5 linked regions of the Xenopus tropicalis genome follow. The protein of the gene in region 1 interacts with the protein of each later gene in a pairwise test. Links are inferred from orthologs where the notes say so. Each region holds a gene or a part of one and is shown in the gene's direction. Other genes may lie near its edges.

What was found.
Region 2: the proteins of habp4 (region 1) and chd3 interact in a two-hybrid assay, tested with the Homo sapiens proteins (3 studies listed by BioGRID and IntAct). The link is inferred for Xenopus tropicalis from reciprocal best matches to the Homo sapiens genes HABP4 and CHD3.
Region 3: the proteins of habp4 (region 1) and ybx1 interact in a two-hybrid assay, tested with the Homo sapiens proteins (2 studies listed by BioGRID and IntAct). The link is inferred for Xenopus tropicalis from reciprocal best matches to the Homo sapiens genes HABP4 and YBX1.
Region 4: the proteins of habp4 (region 1) and rack1 interact in a two-hybrid assay, tested with the Homo sapiens proteins (2 studies listed by BioGRID). The link is inferred for Xenopus tropicalis from reciprocal best matches to the Homo sapiens genes HABP4 and RACK1.
Region 5: the proteins of habp4 (region 1) and c1qbp interact in a two-hybrid assay, tested with the Homo sapiens proteins (2 studies listed by BioGRID and IntAct). The link is inferred for Xenopus tropicalis from reciprocal best matches to the Homo sapiens genes HABP4 and C1QBP.

What each region holds. Positions count from the first base shown.
Region 1 is NC_030677.2:136,235,196-136,239,226, forward strand, and holds the start of habp4 (intracellular hyaluronan-binding protein 4), read left to right. Parts: upstream 1-1,227; 5' UTR 1,228-1,318; intron 1,319-1,366; exon of another isoform or gene 1,367-1,498; coding exon of another isoform or gene 1,499-1,508; intron 1,509-1,808; exon of another isoform or gene 1,809-1,970; intron 1,971-3,945; coding exon of another isoform or gene 3,946-3,986; coding exon 3,987-4,031. UniProt on the Homo sapiens protein: Ribosome-binding protein that promotes ribosome hibernation, a process during which ribosomes are stabilized in an inactive state and preserved from proteasomal degradation.
Region 2 is NC_030679.2:146,922,111-146,925,625, reverse strand, and holds part of chd3 (chromodomain-helicase-DNA-binding protein 3), read left to right. Parts: intron 1-26; coding exon 27-257; intron 258-1,900; coding exon 1,901-2,104; intron 2,105-2,623; coding exon 2,624-2,829; intron 2,830-3,515.
Region 3 is NC_030683.2:94,733,991-94,738,033, reverse strand, and holds the start of ybx1 (nuclease-sensitive element-binding protein 1), read left to right. Parts: upstream 1-1,230; 5' UTR 1,231-1,385; coding exon 1,386-1,485; intron 1,486-2,738; coding exon 2,739-2,802; intron 2,803-3,620; coding exon 3,621-3,654; intron 3,655-3,971; coding exon 3,972-4,043. UniProt on the Homo sapiens protein: DNA- and RNA-binding protein involved in various processes, such as translational repression, RNA stabilization, mRNA splicing, DNA repair and transcription regulation.
Region 4 is NC_030684.2:71,557,595-71,561,711, reverse strand, and holds the start of rack1 (receptor of activated protein C kinase 1), read left to right. Parts: upstream 1-1,306; 5' UTR 1,307-1,375; coding exon 1,376-1,484; exon of another isoform or gene 1,485-1,612; intron 1,613-1,971; exon of another isoform or gene 1,972-2,066; intron 2,067-2,241; coding exon 2,242-2,413; intron 2,414-2,777; coding exon 2,778-2,925; intron 2,926-3,111; coding exon 3,112-3,207; intron 3,208-4,117. UniProt on the Homo sapiens protein: Scaffolding protein involved in the recruitment, assembly and/or regulation of a variety of signaling molecules. Interacts with a wide variety of proteins and plays a role in many cellular processes.
Region 5 is NC_030678.2:105,094,760-105,098,051, reverse strand, and holds the end of c1qbp (complement component 1 Q subcomponent-binding protein, mitochondrial), read left to right. Parts: intron 1-138; coding exon 139-234; intron 235-1,477; coding exon 1,478-1,603; intron 1,604-2,275; coding exon 2,276-2,422; 3' UTR 2,423-2,782; downstream 2,783-3,292.

The sequences.
Region 1 (4,031 bases):
ATATCACGAAAATGCTTACGAAAAAATCGTATTAGTCACGATAATATCGTATTGGCGATCCGAATGTCACAAAATTTTCATACCGTACAATTGTAAACAGCGGCAAAAACTTTCCGATTTTTTCCTGCAAGCGTACGAAAAAGTTGTGCAGTGTATGAAAAGTCGTGCGGACACACGAAAAATTCGGCAAAAATACGCTCCTAGCGTTTGTGCCTTTGTAAATGTGCCCCCTAGAGTGTACTATAAAGGGAGCTACACCTGCCACTAATGCCTCATTCATGGGGCCCTGTTCCCCGACTTCAACTGGGCCTGGGCCCATACCCTGGGCTCACAGCCCACATCCACCCTGTTCCTCAGGTGGAAGCAAACAGGAAGGTGCCACTTCTCTCCCAGCACTATAACAAAGTGAGGCAGGATGTGGTCACCATACCTTCTAACCAATAGTACACATATGTTTATGAACTCACTTAGATACATTCCCTTTTGCCCAGCAACTAAGGGAATTGAAACTGTAGGGATTTAAAGCCATAGGGGCCATTTAACCCTATGGGTCCCTACACATCTATTGATTTTTCATCCATCGATCAGAAAAGTGATCGGGCAGGATTGAAAATTTTCATTATTAAAAATAAAATGTATTCATCATCCAATTGTATGCAGGGCTAAGCAGGTAGGTACCCACAGTGTTCCTAGCTTCAACTAGACAATATCGCTTGAAATTGTTTTCATTGATAAACAAATCATAAACGATTTTCAGGATAAGATTGGTCCTACAATAACAAACAATATCTTTCAAAGATCTTAAAATGTATGGCCAGCTCAAGTCATTACCTGTTTTAAATTATTTATACTTTAAAAGAGCAGACTCTAGTTATAAGAAGAAACTCCTATGGAGACAGATACAGTGCGCCGTGCATATTCTTATGGCAATGGTTAGTTTGCTGCTTAGTTGTGCTTCTGCCAAGGAGTCAGCAAATCCCTTAACACAATCTAACCAGTAGGCAGAAAGTTACCAGCACTATCGCAATCACACAGCTCCCCATCCACCTGCGCCACTAACATTAACTGCACAGGAAACCCTCTCCTGAATAAAGCATTAATCCGCAGACACAGCCAGCATGTGATTGGCCATTAGGTAACTGCGGAGGCGGGGTTAATATTGAGGGGCTTGCCAGTCATGTCTTTAAATCAGGCACCTGAGCGGCGTTAGCGTTGATAGGCTGGCCTGGCGCGATGTTGGCTGGCTTACTGGTTCGCGGAATAAATGCTCAACCGGGAGGCGGGATCTTCGTGACTGAAGTTCTGAACGTCTAATCCCGTAAGATTAGGGCGTGTTCTTTGAGGGATATTTGTGGGATGGGGATGGGATGACTGATGACTCCAGAAGGTGAGGTAAAGAGGAGAAGTAGGAGTGTCCCGGCTTCTTAGCGCATCTCTGCTTGGGACGTTAGAGTTGCTTGTCGACCGTGGCGCAGCGTTGGAGCATTGGCACGGTGCAATGCGATTGGGTACTATATGCATGTATTTGCTACTTGTAATGTTGGCTTTGTAGGTTGTGTCCCATTATATCGCTGTGAGCGTTTCCATCAGTGTTCGGCAAGGTGGAGCCATGCTAAAGTAGTTTATACATAACGCGCAGCTTATCCCGCAGGCTGAGTGCTGGTTGGGACGGTGCAGTTTGGTACAGCTATTTAATATGGTGGCGCCTCAACTGTTTAAGGATGATGGTGCTAATCTGTTATAAAGCCCATTTGACTCTGAGTGGACGGTCGGGGTTTTTAATTATCTGCTGTCCGTGTAATTTAGTATTGAACTCCCGGCATGCAGTCTGTTTGTGCAGGATTTATATGTGTTGGGCGGCGGGCTGCCCCATCCCTGGAGGCGTTTAGTTCCTGGAGCAAATGGCTTCCAACTGGCCTGGCAAACGCCATATCGCTCGCCTTCTTGCCTTTGTATAGTCCACTTAAGTGGTATGTGTAGGTTTAGCTATATAGGGATTAGTGTTATAGAAGCCATTTTAGTGGCTCTGTATTCCTATATCATTTTTTTTCCTCCCCCCTTGAGCTAAAAATTGAAAGTACTTCATGTTTTGTTCTTGCGTGCTAGATAATTACATTAATAGTTCAGATGTAAAGGTGGGCTTACAAGGGCATATTTTAAGATGGTGATTTGAGTTCTTTAGACCAAGGGTCCCCAGACTTTTTAAGGGGGGGGGGGCAGGTAAATTAACTTTGAGGTGGGGGCTCCCTAGTTTGAGGATGCCTGCTTAAAGGTCCCCATACACGGGCCGACTATAGCTGCCAATATAAGTCCCTTGGACCGATTCGGCAGCTAATCGGCCCGTGTATGGGGAGAGCAGAGCGGCCTGGCCGACCAATATCTGGCCTGAAATTGGCCAGATCTCAATCGGCCAGGTTAGAAAATCCGGTCGGATCGGGGACCGCATCGGCTCGTTGATGCGGTCCCCGATCCGACTGCCCCATTGCCGCCCACATAATCCGATCGTTTGGCCCCAGGGCCAAACGATCAGATAATTTTTTTTTTTACCTAAATGCTCCCCGATATCGCCCACCCGTAGGTTGAGCGGATCTGCTCGTGTATGGCCACCTTTAGACTGACTCGGCTGCTTATCTGCCTGTATATGGGCCCCCTGATGGGGCTCCCCATTCGCTAACTGGCTGAAAATTGGGCACGTTTGATTTTCCTGTAAGATTGGGGACTGATTTGCCTTACTGAAGCAGTCCTTGGTCCAACTGCCCCTTTACTCTTTGTAATTTGATTGTTTGGCCCTAGGGCCAAACTATTGAATTAGCCCAAAATCGTCCACCTTAGCTGGGCATATTGGGAGAAGATTCACTAGTCAACCTCGCCAAACGAGCGGATCTTAAAGGAACAGTAACACTAAAAAATGAAAGAGCTTTAAACTAATACAAATATAATGCACTGTTGCCCTGCACTGGTAAAACTGGTGTGTTTGCTACAGTAACACTACTATAATTTATATAATAAGCTGCTGTGTAGCCCCAGGGGCAGCCATTCAAGCTGGAAAAAAGGAGAAAAGGCACAGGTTACATAGCAGATAACAGATAAGTTCTGTAGAATACAATAGTGTTTTATCTGTTATCTGCTATGTGCCTGTGCCTTTTCTCCTTTGAATGGCTGCCTCCATGGCTACATAGCAGCTTATTTATATAAATTATAGTAGACTTTCTGAAGTAAACACACAACTTTTACCAGTGCAGGGCAGCAGCACATTATATTTTAGTTACTTTTATACACTTTCATTTTTTGGTGTTACTGTTCCTTTAATGTGTGCGCCCATCTTATCTGCACACTGGTAACCTCTACTTTCTGGAATATGGGTGAATTAAGGAGGCCAAAAACAAGGGTGTCTGCTGTTATAGGTAGACAGCTGTGAGTTACATTTGAGCAGTATTTAAAGAAATACTGTCATGTACTGTAAACAAAATAGTATACCATAAAAATCATGTCAGATACTTTTTTTTATGGAAAATTGATTTTAGAACACCCTTATGACATTGGTGGTGGTTTAATAAGATTTGGATATTGAAGGTGAACAACCCCTTTAAAGGACAGTTATACATAGTGTCTTTTTATATTTTTTCCATTTGTGCAGTCTGCTGAACAGTCATACTTGTCTACAAATGTCAACTTATGCAAACAGTGATTTATATTGTGTTGTGATCTCTTTGCAAATGCTAGCAGGGAGTCTAGTTTATCATCCAATGGGAAAACAAGGGTATTTTCCCATAGCATGTATGGATACCATAGGTCTTACAGCAAAAACTTCCCCTATATTGAATACAATTCAGTAGGACGCCGAGTAATCTTCCAATTTAAGATAATTAGGCTTTCCTAACCTTTCTTAACTTGTGAAGTTTAAATTATAAAATAATTAATACTGCTCTTGTCATGTTTTTCTAGATACAATGAAGCAAGCGCCAAGTAGCCCTGATAATGTTGCCATGCAAGATAACTTTGGCTGCGCAGTTGAAAACCGCTTCAACCAG
Region 2 (3,515 bases), on another chromosome or scaffold:
CTACTAAAACATCACTTGCTTGACAGGAGAAGGAGGGTGTCCAGTGGGAAGCCAAGGAGCTCGAGGAAGAAGAGATGGAAGAGCCCAAAAGGGAGAGGCGGGAGGAGGAAGACGACCACATGGAGTTCTGCCGAGTGTGTAAAGATGGAGGGGAGCTGCTGTGCTGCGATGCTTGTGTCTCCTCCTACCACATCCACTGCCTCAATCCTCCGCTGCCCGACATTCCACACGGGGAGTGGCTCTGCCCGCGCTGCACGGTGAGAGAGAAATCGTGAATCATTTGTATCTTTGTCCACATGTCCATTAGGGTGAGGACACATGGGGCGTTTTTAAAAAAGCGGAATCAAGCTACTGATAATAGTGGAATAAAAAAAAAAAGCTGATACCCGCCGTACCTTTAAACTCTATGGGATCCACAGGTTGGGAAGCTTTGCTGAAATACCCCACGTATTTTCAATATGGCGGAAAACTCTTGCAAAATGCATTGCGCATATACAAATTTGCGTCATTATATGCCAATGATGTATTTACATTATGTATGGGCGATAAGTTCATACATAATGTGATCATGTGACACTACAAGGGAAAGGGACTGTGGAAATGATGGCGCAAAGATATTTTGCGTTATTACAGAACGGAAATGATGAAGCACATTTGCATCATTACACATGGGAATTGGGGTGAATGAGAAGAAACTGAAATGCATGTTGGGAAAAGGCTACAGGCCGAGAAACGCAGAACAATAAAGTGTTTACGCTCCAATCCGTGTTTTTAAAAAAAATGCCTTGTGTGACCTTGCCCTTAAAGGGGTAGTACACTTTAAATTAACTTTTAGTATGATGTAGACATTGATATTCTGAGACGATTTGCAATTACTTTTTATGGGTTTTCAGTTATTTAGCTTTGTCCAGCAGCTCTCCATTGGGTATTTTAGCAGCTATCTGGTTGCTAGGGTCTTATTTACCCTAGCAACCAGGCAGAGGTTTAAAGGAGAGATGGGAATATGAATAGTAGAGGGGCTGCATAGAAAGATAACTAGTAAAAAGTAACAATAACAATAAAACTGGAGCCTCACAGAGCAATAGGGTTTGGCTGCCGGGGTCAGTGACCCCCATTTGAAAGCTGCAAAGAGACAGAAGAATATTTCAAAAACTATAAAAAAAACAAATTAGGGATACACCAAATCCTGGATTCGGTTCGGTATTTGGCCAGGATTTTGCCTTTTTTGGCAGGGTTCGGTTTAGTAAAAACGCCACACTTTTGGCTCACCTAATCAAATGTTTACTCAGTCACACTTCACATTTTCTAGAACAGGCAGCCATCTCTAAAAAGGTATTCTCCCTTCCTTTCCCTCCTTGCTTCATACTGCACATGTGTTTCATTCCCTCCCCCCCTCCCCTCTGGCAGATCCGCTTCTGATTGGCTGGTGGGCATGTGTAGCTCAGAACAGGAGACAGGATCAAGTTACACACATGCTCAGAGAATAGGAAGGCTGCCGCTGGCACCTACAGGAAGGGGAGAGAGATTTCAGTGATGTCACTGTAGGCTTCACACTGCTGTAGGCTGCCAGCACCATATCTCAGAGAAGCAAGCAGGGATATGGGAATTTAGATATGCAGTAAGTAGTTAAAAAGAATGCCTTTACCCCCCCCCCCCCAGTTAGCATTTGGTGCATCCCTACAAATTATGAGAACCAATTGCAAAGTTGCTTAGAATAGGTCATTCTATAACATACTAAAAGTTAAATTGAAGGCGAACCACCCCTTTAAAGCGCCATTGTCTTTGATGGAGGCAGTTTCAGACTTCATATTTCAGCAGTAGAATGTTGCACAAACGCCTGCAGTTGGATTATGGGAAACGTCGCCATCTTTATAACACTTTCTCTCTCCCGTTCCCGCAGTGCCCACAACTGAAGGGCAAAGTGCAGAAAATCCTACACTGGCGCTGGGGCGTACCCCCTGAAGGAGTCCCGCTCCCTCAGCCGCTGGATGGGGCCCAAGATGAGGAGCCGCCTCGAGCCTTGCAAGGGCGCTCGGAGAGGGAGTTCTTTGTCAAGTGGGCAGGGATGTCGTACTGGCACTGCTGCTGGATCACTGAGCTACAGGTCTGTGCTGGGCCTTTATAGAGGAGAATGTACCCCCTATTGTAAAATATAAGGATATTATAAGTCACAGAGGAGTCCCATGACCATATAAAAGCTTCTATACAGGTCATGGAGCACTGAGGTGACTTCTAATACCTTCATATTTTACAATAGGGGGTACTTTATTATAGTATACAAGTTTTAGTGAGTCATGTGACAGAAACGACATCACTAAGCACCGTTTATAAGGGTATCTTTTACCGGATATTCATGGCTCTTTTGTATTATATACATTCACATGAACAGCAGAGCTAGAGGTCACCATTTCTCTTTTTCTCCCTCCCTTCTTAATTTTTTTTTTTTTTGTCCTTCTCGCCCCATGCTGTTTGTATCAATACTACTTTACCTAAACCTGCTGTATCCTCCTCCCACCCCACCTTTCTTCCCATATAACTTCCATGTATTTTTCCGTGTCACCCCCGTTCCTTTTTCTTCCCTTCTGTCTCCTCCCTCACAGTGATCTCTCCCCCCTCCTTTCAGCTGGAGATCTTTCATACAGTCATGTACCGCAACTTCCAACGGAAGAACGACATGGACGAACCCCCTCCCTTTGATTACGGCTCCGGGGAGGACGAGGGCAAGAGTGAGAAAAGCAAGGATGCCGAGTACTCCGACTTAGAGGAAAGATTCTACCGTTACGGCATAAAGCCTGAGTGGATGTCTATCCAGAGAATCATCAACCACAGGTCTGAAGGCTGGCCCAATGGTCTTATCCTTATACGTGTCATGTAGAGAAAGCAGCCATTTTATTTGTTAATACCTCTCTGGCCACCATCAAGGTACCTACCAAAAGGTGTTATTGGTAAGAAGCATGTAGTCCTGCCCAAAACGGAACACTCATGAAAACAGGCTAAACCTTAAACCAGGGGTCCTCAAACTTTTTAAACATGGGGCCAGTTTATGGTCCCTCAGATTGTTGGGGGGCTGGACTGTAGTCCTCCGAATATCCCCCCCCCCCCCGCGTCCGCAAACTATGCCTCAAAACCTCAAACTACGCCCCCCTCCCTGCTGCATACCCTCGCTCCCTGTTCCCCCGCTCCCAAATGTACCCTCCGGCTCTCTTCTCTCCGCTGTGCCCCCCGGCTCTCTTCTCTCCACTGTGCCCCCTGCTCCCCCGCTGCGCCCTCCGGCTCCCTGCTCCCCGCTGCGCCCCCCCGGCTCCATTTTTCCCCTGCTGTGCCCTTCAGCTCCCTGTTACCCCGCTGCGTTCTCCGGCTCCCTGCTCCCAGCTGCGTCTGCAGACAGGTAGTAGCCAGGAGTGGGGACACATCTGGCCCGGGTAAATTACCTTGGGGGGCTGGATCTGGCCCACGGGCCGTAGTTTGAGGATCCCTGCCTTAAACCATGGGTTTGATCTCCCCCCCCCCCCCCA
Region 3 (4,043 bases), on another chromosome or scaffold:
GAAAAGGCACAGGTTATATAGCAGCTAACAGATAAATCCTGTAGAATACAATGGTGTCTTATCTGTTATCGGCTATGTGCCTGTGCCTTTTCTCCAGCTTGAATGGCTGCCCCCATGGCTACACAGAAGCTTATTTATATAAACTATAGTAGTGTTTCTGAAGCAAACACCCCAGTTTTACCAGCGCAGGGCCACAGTACATTATATTTCAATTACTTTAAAACACTTTCATTTTTTGGTGTTACTGTTCCTTTAATAGACCAGTAATCAGTCAGTGTTGAACCATGAATTGTCAGCTCATACATCATTATTGATCTGACCTAACCAGTCAGAAAGACTAATTCATATTATTTAATTCTCATTTGCTTTTGTGGAGTTTTATTAAAATTATATGAGATAGATTTTAATGTGTCTTAAACTATCACATTTATATTAGTATTTGCGATGTGCATGCTGTTATTGCAGCTATGGAGCATACTGCAAGTTAGGCTGTGCAAGTGTACTGCTGATGTGACTATTCCCGCTATTATTAAAGCCCATTTATAAAACACTAATATACTCTGCTGTGTAATGTATTTGGGAAAATATAAGCAATAAGGCAGAAATTACACCATTGCGAAGAAACAAACAGAAATCAAGACATGAGGTCGGGGGGGCCTGCCCGTTAGACAATCCGAGGATTAGGAAATAAGCAATACGCCATACTTCCATAAAACCTTGGATTTGGACTCAGCGCCATAACAATAGACAGAGTCCGTTGCCTAAGCACAACCCCTTATATGAGTGATCTGGTATCATTACCTTCAGCTCATAAGGGCTGATGTGCCGGGAAACAGCTGAACTAAACACAAGTCAAATATTGAGGTACCTGCCCAATAGTTTATTGCATTTATCCTACCCCCCACACCTTACACTTTATTGATCACTGTTTATATCAGCCTTAGAGCTCAACAGCTACATCCCATCCAATAATGCAGACGCTAGAGGCAGAGACTAATCCCTCCAATCCTGTTATTGACATCTGCCTTAGCCAATAAGATTACAGAAGGAACACATCCAAACAGAGCGCGTCGATTCTTGATTGACAAGCCATTCGACCATACAACTGCAGAGTTTTTTACTAAACCCGTAGACTGACAAGCCAATTGACCAATAGGATAATAGCCAGGGCGGGATGTCTGCGATGATTAACCCGTCTGTAAGGCCATTGCCAGGCAGTTCGATCGGTAGCGGGAGCGGAGAGCGGACAGCAGGGAGCTCGAAAGGCAGCAGCCCCACCGCCGGCCTGAGTTACCATCAACACCCCGGGGGGAAGTTAAAGCGAGCCAACCGCCGGCCCGAGTCACCACCTCCGAAAGCAGCCAACTTACACCATCAAAGACACAATGAGCAGCGAGGTTGAAACACAACAGCAGCAGACAGTCGCATTGGAGGGCAAGGCCGGCCAGGAACCGGCGGCCACCGTGGGGGAGAAGAAGGTCATCGGTAAGTACGATTGAATTAGCATACGAGAGATGCCTCTCGGACACAGGCAGGGCTGGGTATTTGGCGCGTCAGGCTCAATATGACTACTACTCCCAGCATCCCCTGTGCAGTCACGTTGGTTAAGGCGATTACTAGATATTTGCACAAACAGGCGCGGTTATCTGTTTATTTATAGTGTGAGGGAGCGGTTTTCGCTTTTACTATAGGGCGCGGGTGAGTGGCGGTTACACCGACGTGGAGTGTCGTGCCACGCGGAGTTGTTGGTGACGGATCTCTGCCCCCCCCGGCGCCGTGACATCACCCCCCCCCCCGCAGCGCCGTGACATCATCCCTTCCTGTGTCCTGAGAGGAATAGGGCCTGTAACATGTCCGCCGCCGCCTGCGGCCTACACCCCCCCCACCTCCTCTTTTGTATGCCGCCGCGCCTTTGCTGGGTCCCCAGTAGCGCCTCTGGCCTCACGTTTGCTTTGCAAACATACGGGGGAGTGTGAGGGCCGTGATGGCGCTGGGAATTGGCGGCTCCGTGTGTCCCGGCTGCTCGGGTTGCGGCTCTGGCCCGGCTCCAGCCACGTGGTGTGTGAGTAGTTGTGGCACGGAGCTGCTCGTACCGCCTGGGCCTGAGCGGGAGGGGCATGAGAGCCATTTTAGTCTATCTTTGCACTCGGCTTGCTTAGTAGCAGCCTTTATAGCGCTTGGCAATAAACGGGGATTCTGGGAGTTGTAGTTTTTCATTTGAAAAAAAGAATTGACAACACTCTTATGGCCCCAAATAGCAATGTTTGTTTGCTGATGCCTTTAATTGTAATTCCGTGTGTTTATATAGCAGTGAGTGGGAATGCACACAACCAGTTGCATTACTTTCCCTCAGGAAATGTTGCTACCAGGGCCATGGGATAGGGCTTTGTTTTTGTTCCTCTTCCCCCATCCACCCCCATCCATCCTACTCAATGTAATTACTGTATAGCTGTGCCTGGCCCAGTAGCCATTGAAGTTGTATGTCCAGATAGCCATTAAACTAGCAGTGTTTATGTATTGCTTTGGCTTGTATCTCACTGGCTGCTGATCAATAAGTTGCATGTAACTAGTATTTATAATTTCTAATTATTTTTTTTTGTAAAAGTTAGCTTTCCAAACCACCACCCACCCCCTGTGTTTATGGTGCTACTGTGCTGCCAGAAAGTGATTGCTCTATTGTGCATATTAGATTGATCTTGTGCCTCACTCCAAACTAACGATTTTTTATTTTCTTTCAGCAACCAAGGTTTTGGGTACGGTCAAATGGTTTAATGTGCGCAATGGTTACGGCTTCATTAACAGGTGAGTTCATATTTCTGCCCCAACTTAGATTAGTAATTTGGTAAACTTGTTACAGCCTGCCTGACCCTTCGGGGCCATGCACGTGGTACTTCCCATAAATGCTTGTTTTAATATGGTTTAGCAAGTATATATTCCAGGATATGCGGTTAAGCAATACCAGAAGTTACTTAAATTACTTAACACTTGGGGAAGGCATAGTTTAAAAATGTTTTTATAGAGATGGGGAGCTGCTGTATTGCTTGCTTCCTAAGTAGCACTGCCTACCGGTTTCAGCGCTGTACTTCTATGAATGCCTGTGCCAAGAAAATGATCTTTGCCTGTCGCTGTTGTAGAAATTCAGATACACAACAAAAACAGTAATTGCACCCAGTAGCCAGGGCTGGCATGCTTTAATTCAGCTTTCCCTTATCCTTTCGACTGTATCTTAAGATTTTTCTGCTTTTTGAAAGGAAATGTACTTTTTTCACATAAACCAAATAAATCGGTTTGTTAAAAACAATTATATAAGATGGCTTCTTTCCTAAAATGTCAGAAATGAGCTATATGATGTGGGCTTTATGGAGAAAAAAAGGATGCTGGTTGAAATATATTTTCATTTGCCCATTCTTTGTCTAAAGGCAATGCTTTGTGGTTGGTAGAAAAAATGCCTTTCCAGCATTATTCCTATTTTTGTGCTTATGTTGCCTTTAGTGTTTGACCTATACATATAAATTAATTTGCACAGTACAAGCCTTTAATCTATTTTTGTTTTGTTTAGCTTTGTTGTGCTGTGAAAATTTCTACCTTTTGTCGTTAACATTTTGTTTTTATCCTTATAGGAATGACACCAAGGAAGATGTGTTTGTACACCAAGTAAGTATTCCACTTATCTGGGTTTTTTTTACAGATGTCTAGTCCAATCTAGTATAGAAAATGTATTCTATAACTTCTAATATGGTAACTTGTATTTGAGTATAGTGTTGATCAAAGCGGATTGCCTTGGTGTAATAAAAGAATGCATACTGAATAGAAAGTCATGACTGTTCCACAGTTGGATAGGACATTTTCCTACACCTTTTTATATTGCCATGGAACTAGATAGAGCAAAAGCAGATTTAATCAGTTTTCAGCATTTGTTCAGATTTCTTTTAATGTCTTTTTATTTAAAAAAAAAAATATATTTTTTTTAGACTGCCATCAAGAAGAATAACCCTAGGAAGTACCTTCGCAGTGTGGGAGATGGTGAAACTGTTGAGTTTGAT
Region 4 (4,117 bases), on another chromosome or scaffold:
CCAGAATGAATACTTAACCAACAGATAGTTTATATAATTTTAAGTGACCTAGTAATCTCACCAAAATGGAATATATATATATATCAGTAAATATTGCCCAGCTCTAACCGTAACAGGAAGTAGTGTGGGAGTTAAAGACAGAACCCTGTCTATTCATTGGCTGATGGGGCCTAGCATGTATGTGTGCCTTGGCTTGTTTGTGTGCACTGTGAATCCTATGATCCCAGGGGGTGGCCCTTAATTCTTAAAATGGCAATTTTCTATTTATGATTACGCAATAGCACAAACTACTAAAAATGTCTATTTTTATGAAAATGGTTTATTTAGATGAAGCAGGGTTTTACGTATGAGCTTGCTTATGCAATATATTTTTGTAGAGACCTACATTGTTGGGGGCTATAGTTCTCCTTTAATGGTGGTTTCAATCCCAGTTTACAGTTTGGTTCAATCAAAAATAGTGAGAACTTTGCCATAGGCTGCGTGTGGCTTAAAGAGCAGAATTTTTTTTTTTTTATAAGGAAATTGTTCAGTGCAGGAGATACTGCAGTGTCCCTGCCCTAGTTCAGGTGGGGGAGTAAGGAGCAGGGCGCAAGGTGTGGACTATAATGCCAAAAGGTACCCCTACAAACAGAGATAACTCTATAAAGGAGATTCCCCAGTGGTGAAAGAGACCCAGTGGGGCACTGACTAATATAATACATGTAAAGCATGTTTTGAAGCACTTTTAATGTTTCTAATGTTTTATTTCCTGTTTATGACAAAAAAAAACTACTTATGCCTGCCGCCCAGTATCCTCATGATAGTTACGTTTTAAACAACAATATATCCAAGATGTGCGTGTTCCACACTTACGGCAGCTAACATTCCACAACCAATATGGCGCCAGCACACAGTCATATAAGCATGGGAACCCTCTCACGTGTGCTACAATCAGAACGCAAACTAGCCTGCGTACGGTCAGCCTATCCCCGCGATTTCTCTATTTGACAGGGAAAGTAGTCACCAGTTGATTTAATAGCCAATTCTGTTCTAGCGCTTATACCTATGCTTGGAATTCACGTTGTCATTCATATTTTCTTTTTTTGTCTTGTTTTAAAAGATTTTAAAGTAGCGCGATTTTTTAGCCTAAGTTGCACTGTACGACATTCTGCAACTCGCTGCCATGTTGAAACTCGTTTCTGGTGATGTAAACAAGTAATGCATCCGGGTAAAGGCGTCCTGACGCAAGGCGGCGCAGCGCGCTTACGTCAGGACGCCGCTTTGTATAAAAGGCGAGGCGAGGCCTAGTTCAGCCTCTCTTCGGTCGCTTTAGGCCCGGTGTCTACCATCTGTCTCCATCCTTTGCCGGTGGAGCGGTTTCGGACTCATCGCAGCCATGACTGAGCAAATGACACTTCGGGGGACCCTAAAGGGCCATAATGGCTGGGTCACGCAAATCGCGACTACCCCACAATTCCCGGACATGATTCTCAGCTCTTCCAGAGGTGAGATGCATGAGACGCCTACTGTAGCCTATCGATCCACGCAAGTTTATATGCATTGCGGTATCCGGGACCCCGTTTATCGTTAGAACAAGAGCATGAATGCTTACACGTTGCTTTTTTCAGCCCTGGTAAATGTGATTGCTGTAACTACTTAGTGTCGCTGTGTGATATGTTACTGTATCGGGGCTAAAATGGCTCCTCATTCATTATGCGTCATTGGAAGTCCTAACTATAATGAAGCTTTTCTTTATCTGTCGTTTTGATTAGCAAGGGAAAGATGGTGGTAGATTTTGCGGGCTAACTTACCTTTTAATTATGGTGTGAGCGATATATGATGTATAGTGGCAGCTATTGTTTGCTAGAACTTTGTTCCTTAGCCCTTGGTACTGAAGAATTTGCAGGCTGACAATGCCATAGAGTTGTATGAGCAGTGGTGGAAGTGTTTTTTCTTTGCACATCTCATGTCTTCATTTTTCTTGCATACTAGATAACCTCATTCTTCTGGCAGTTTGGGTTGTGCAAAGGAAAAACATCTTCACCTGCTTACAGACATAAAATGAGACACCGTAGACCAATGACAAGGTATGGCATGGCTTCGCTGTGATGGCATGGTTTATTTTGGGAGGGTTACCCCTGTGTGGAACTGCCTTGTTGGAGGTTTACTGCATAGAAGTTGAGGTTACCACTTATTTAAATCAGCAATAGTGTTCTTATGTCCTTTGACTTTTTTTTTTTTTTTTTTTTCCTCTCTGCACAGATAAGACTGTCATCATGTGGAAGCTGACTCGTGATGAAACAAACTATGGGGTTCCACAACGTGCTCTCCGGGGTCACTCCCACTTTGTCAGTGATGTGGTTATCTCTTCAGATGGGCAGTTCGCTCTCTCAGGATCCTGGGATGGAACACTCAGACTGTGGGATCTTACAACGTGAGTACACTTATCCTTGTTCCATTACCTGGCCTGTTAAATGGCTGCTTTTCAGAATGTTCAGCAAAAGTTACTGATCAGCAGCAGGGAATTAGACATGGTTTCAGTACTACAGAATTTGACTTATTACTTGGATAGAAGGAATGACTGGACTAACTTTAGCATTAAGAATCATTTGAGTCCACTTACTGTCAGACCAGAATATCCCTGCAGGGGAAGCATATGACAAAGGACCAGTTAAATAGTAACCTAGGTAGAGGGAAGCTATGAATCTGTCCCTCCCCCTGCAGGGTGGCACAGAAAGGAGTGTTCTGAGGGGAATGGATACTGTCATTTTGTCATCGTGTCAAATATCCCTCTGCAGTGGCACCACCACACGCCGGTTTGTAGGACACACCAAAGATGTCCTGAGTGTCGCTTTCTCTGCTGACAACCGGCAAATTGTGTCTGGATCCCGTGACAAAACAATCAAGCTGTGGAACACTTTAGGCGTTTGTAAATACACTGTGCAGGTATGTATGAGCGTTATAACTATATTTTAGTTCTGTTGGTCCACGTGATTAGAACAATTGTATTCTGAGTGTCTAATATAGGCACACTAATTTCAGGATGACACTCCTGCAATTATGAAGGGACCAAATAAACAGTCATTCTAGGTCTTTTGGCAGGCTGTTTACTAATGAAGCTGTCTTTCTTAGGAGGAATCACATACTGAATGGGTGTCCTGTGTCCGGTTCTCCCCTAACAGCAGTAATCCCATCATTGTATCCTGCGGCTGGGACAAGATGGTGAAGGTGAGTATTTTGGATGCCTCCAGTCTTAATACGGGTTCAGAGTTTTTTTTTTTTTTTTTTTTTTTTTTTTAAATGCATACTTGTTTGGTAAGTAAAGTGTTAAGCAGCTTTAAAGCGTTTTCACTCCCCCTTTAAATAGTGCACTACTGACCCCTCTTAAACAAGTACTAAGAACTAAGCCCTGAAAATAAGTGGCTAGAGATGCCCACTTTTATATACTGAATGTTCAGGTCTTCTGCAGTTGTCACGGGAACTCCCCATCTTGGATTTTATTAGTGTCGGTGACACTCGTGCTCAGTGTGCAGTTGAGATGCTAAGTCTAGGGGTTGTCGCAAATTTTCTAGCCTGTCAATAGTTCTAAGCTCGGGAAACAGAACAGAACAGAACATGTGCAGTGAATCATCAGAAAAGATGGGAAGCTACTGGGGCACATTACTTCTAAAGGGCTATGATTTCCTAGGGCTGTTACAAAAGCGCAAAACACATAATGTAAAAATAATTATGCCCTACTTCTGTAGTTAATCTTGCAGCTCTGCTTTCAGCCCCCATACATGGGCCTACCAGACACAGCATTTGAGTGATGAATGAATATTGTAGTGGCAGTACATGTGTGGCTTTTTTTTCTATTCAGTGTCGACACTGAACAAATTAGACAAATTGCAGAGTTGCTGCTTCCCTTCTGGCTGACTGGAAATTGGCCATGAGGACTGCTGATCCTTGATCTACCAGAATCATGGAATTATTTATCTTCCCCCCCCCCCCCCCCCCATCCTTTTGTATTGGCTATATAGGCACACAAAGTAGGCCCATATGGTCAAAATTGGCCAAACTACCCTACCAAGTCATGGCCAGTATCCTCTTGCACCTTTTTAAGAATACCATATGGTACAGGTTGTTTACTATATGAAAT
Region 5 (3,292 bases), on another chromosome or scaffold:
CTGTATCAGCAAAAAAAATCTCTGATCAGTATAATATGTTTTAGATCAAATTCAATGGCAACTTCAGTTTTTTGGTCTCTGAATTACATTTGTGTAGCATATATATTTGACATTAAAACTTTTTTTTTCATTTTACAGCCTGAGCTTGTGTCTACACCCAATTTTGTTGTAGAAGTTACAAAACTGGATACCAACCACACCCTGGTTCTTGACTGTCACTATCCAGAGGATGAGGTACACACAACTAAAATATAAAATGTTTTGTTTTGCATTTATCTGTTATCCTTTTATATGTATGTACAGTTAAGTCTGCAACCATTCTAATGTCAATGTGAGTTAGCATTAGGACTGCCTGTGCAGCTGACATATTTGGATCTGAAACATCTGTTAAAAAAAAAAAAAAAAAAAAATAAAAAAAAAAAAAAAAATATATATATATATAATATATATATATATATATATATATATATATTAATTAGCTCATAAGTAGACATCAAGCAAGGCAATTTTTTGGGCCTCACTGGGCCCTTTATCAAGCCAGCACTTTACAGTTGCGCAATATTTTATATACTGAACTTCTTGGACCAGCATCTCTATAGCAGCAATGATCCAGGACTTTAAACGTGTCACAGGAGCTCCCCATCTGGGAAAGACACTCACATGCTTGGTGTGCTCTGGGCAGCTGTTGAGAAGCTAAGCTTAGGGGTTGTACCAAATTATCAAGCTGAAAATTATGTTGGTCTATCATAGAGGGAGATGCAACAGGGCTGATAAACACTAGTTTATCACACCAGTGTGCTCTGAGCAGCTGTTGAGAAGCTAAGCCAAATTATCAAGCAGAAAATGAGGTTGGCCTGTCATATAAGCTAATGCTAAAGGTCTGATTATTAAATTCTAATGCTAATTGCAGTGGTTTCAGAGCTGCCATATATTGTATATTGTGTGTCTGTCCCTAAGCCCTAAGTAACTGATAGCAGCACAGAGCATGTGTTGTTAATCAGCAAAAAAGAAAATGGGGAGTTACTGGGGGCACCTTTTGGAGGGCTGAGGGACTGTTTTTGCCTTGGGCTGGTACAGAAGCCCAAAACCTTATTAGAAATCCAGAAGCACACCAATAATTTGAACTGTGTCAAAATGTGATTTATTTATTTTACATCTGCAAAAAGGGCCCCTCTAGGCCTACTTCTTTCATTTGGCTATAGTTCTCTTTTAAGGGTTCTAAAAGAATTGATAGCACTCTTTCTGGTACCCTAGTTTGGGTATGCATGCTCATGGGAATGAAGATCCTGCAGACTACAAACCTTTCCTTCTGTTTATGCAAAGTTTAAAAATCCTGCCTTCCTTCCACAATTTTTCAGTATTGCTTCTCAAGGAATGCTTGTTACTTTTTTCCTGACTATGACTTTATTTATAAACCTCTTTACAAAACAAATGTGTGGTTAAATAAAGTTGTTTTTTTTTCTTGTTCAAAATTAAGGTTGGACATGGGGAAGAAGAGGAAGAAAGTGACATTTTTACTATTCGGGAGGTTAGCTTTCAGCCCACAGGAGATACAGAATGGAAGGAGAACAGCTATACACTTAACACTGATTCACTTGACTGGGTTGGTATAGCTTTTTTAAACCAACATTTTACATTTTCATGTCAAAATCCATGACCAACCCACCTGGTGGGTATGGCACCAAAGGCAGATTTGGGTACTTGAAAACCATGTTTTTTTGTTTTTTTTTAGTAGGCCACATAAACTGCAAAAGCACCCAATGACTTCTGTGTGAATCTCTAACAACAGGCTTTACTTATGTACTTAACTTATTAGTTGTCTGAAAACATGGGAAAGTTGTCTTGCAAGTGATTCGCATAGAAGTCGATAGGTTTTTTGGCTGCTTAAATCACAAATTGTCCTGTGTGCCATAGCCCTTTGCAGGATCTTGTACTGTCTAGAGGTCTTTAGACTGTCTTGAAGCTAGTCTGATATTAAAGCGGAGGGCTTTGTAGTGGTAATATCACTGGAGAGGCTGAGGTATAGATGGTGATGTCATGAGCAGGAAGGGACCTTAAGTTTGTCCTGCAACCTGCCCCATGCATCAGTAATATCTTCTAAATTGGCCTCAGTTTAGCAACCATTTGTTGGTTTAAAATATTGTATGTTAAGTAGACTGTTCTGATGATTGGTTACTGACTTGGTCATAATTGCACCAGTGTCCCTGCTTAAATATCAGGTAAAGACGTTGTGATAACTTTGTATATTAACTACTGGTGTTTGAATCTTTTGTAGGCCCTTTATGATCACTTAATGGATTTTTTGGCTGACCGTGGAGTGGATAATACTTTTGCTGATGAGCTAGTGGAACTAAGCACTGCTTTGGAGCACCAGGAATACATCAAGTTTCTAGAAAACCTTAAAGACTTTGTTAAATGCTAAGAAGACATTGAGAAGCAATCACCTTCTGTTCTAAAGGTTGCGGCCAGAGGAGGATCTTGTTGCATGTCATCTTGCATAATGGACATTTTAAATCTGTGGGATGTGTTGTAAAATCGGACAGATTTAAAATTGTGAAAAGGCAAGAGGTTTTTTTTTTTGTTTTTTACATTCTATAACAAATGTCAAAGTATGTAGAAAACAAAATCATCCATAACAAAAATGGTGTCTATTGATGTAACAAGATTTGCTTAAACCCACTTATGTTTAGACAACCCTTTTGTTTTTTTGCTTATGTAAGGCTTCATCTATTATTTTTTAATAAATATATTTCAGAAACAGATCTAACTTCTTAAAACTTAATTAAGTTTATTTCTGTGTATTGTTTCCTTATATGCCTACACCATTTTCATACGTAAAGGGACAGCATAGACCTAAAAACACCTTCAGTTTTTTTTAGAAAATTTTTTATCTTTTTCCAACTTATAGAACTTTTCGTTATGTCCACGATAATTTCATTAAAATTCCACAACTTTTTTGTGGTTTTCGTTAACTTCCACAGAAAGTCGTATTTTTCGCAAAGAATACAACCATTTCAGAATTCATTCAAGCTTTGGTATCGTGGCTATCTTTTGGCCAGGTTTGATCTGTAGAGTGCCATGGAAGGCTTCCAAAATCATACATTGAAGGTTTCAAAGCCAGAAAGGTTTTTGCGCCGTTTACGAATGTTCAGATCCAAAAATTGTGACTTTCAGAACACAACCACAATATTTTCGTACGACCAATAAACGATTTTCGTGACATTTTCGAACATCAGAAATTATTGTGGTTACTCCAAATTTTTGGCATATCGTGATTTTAACCACAAAAATA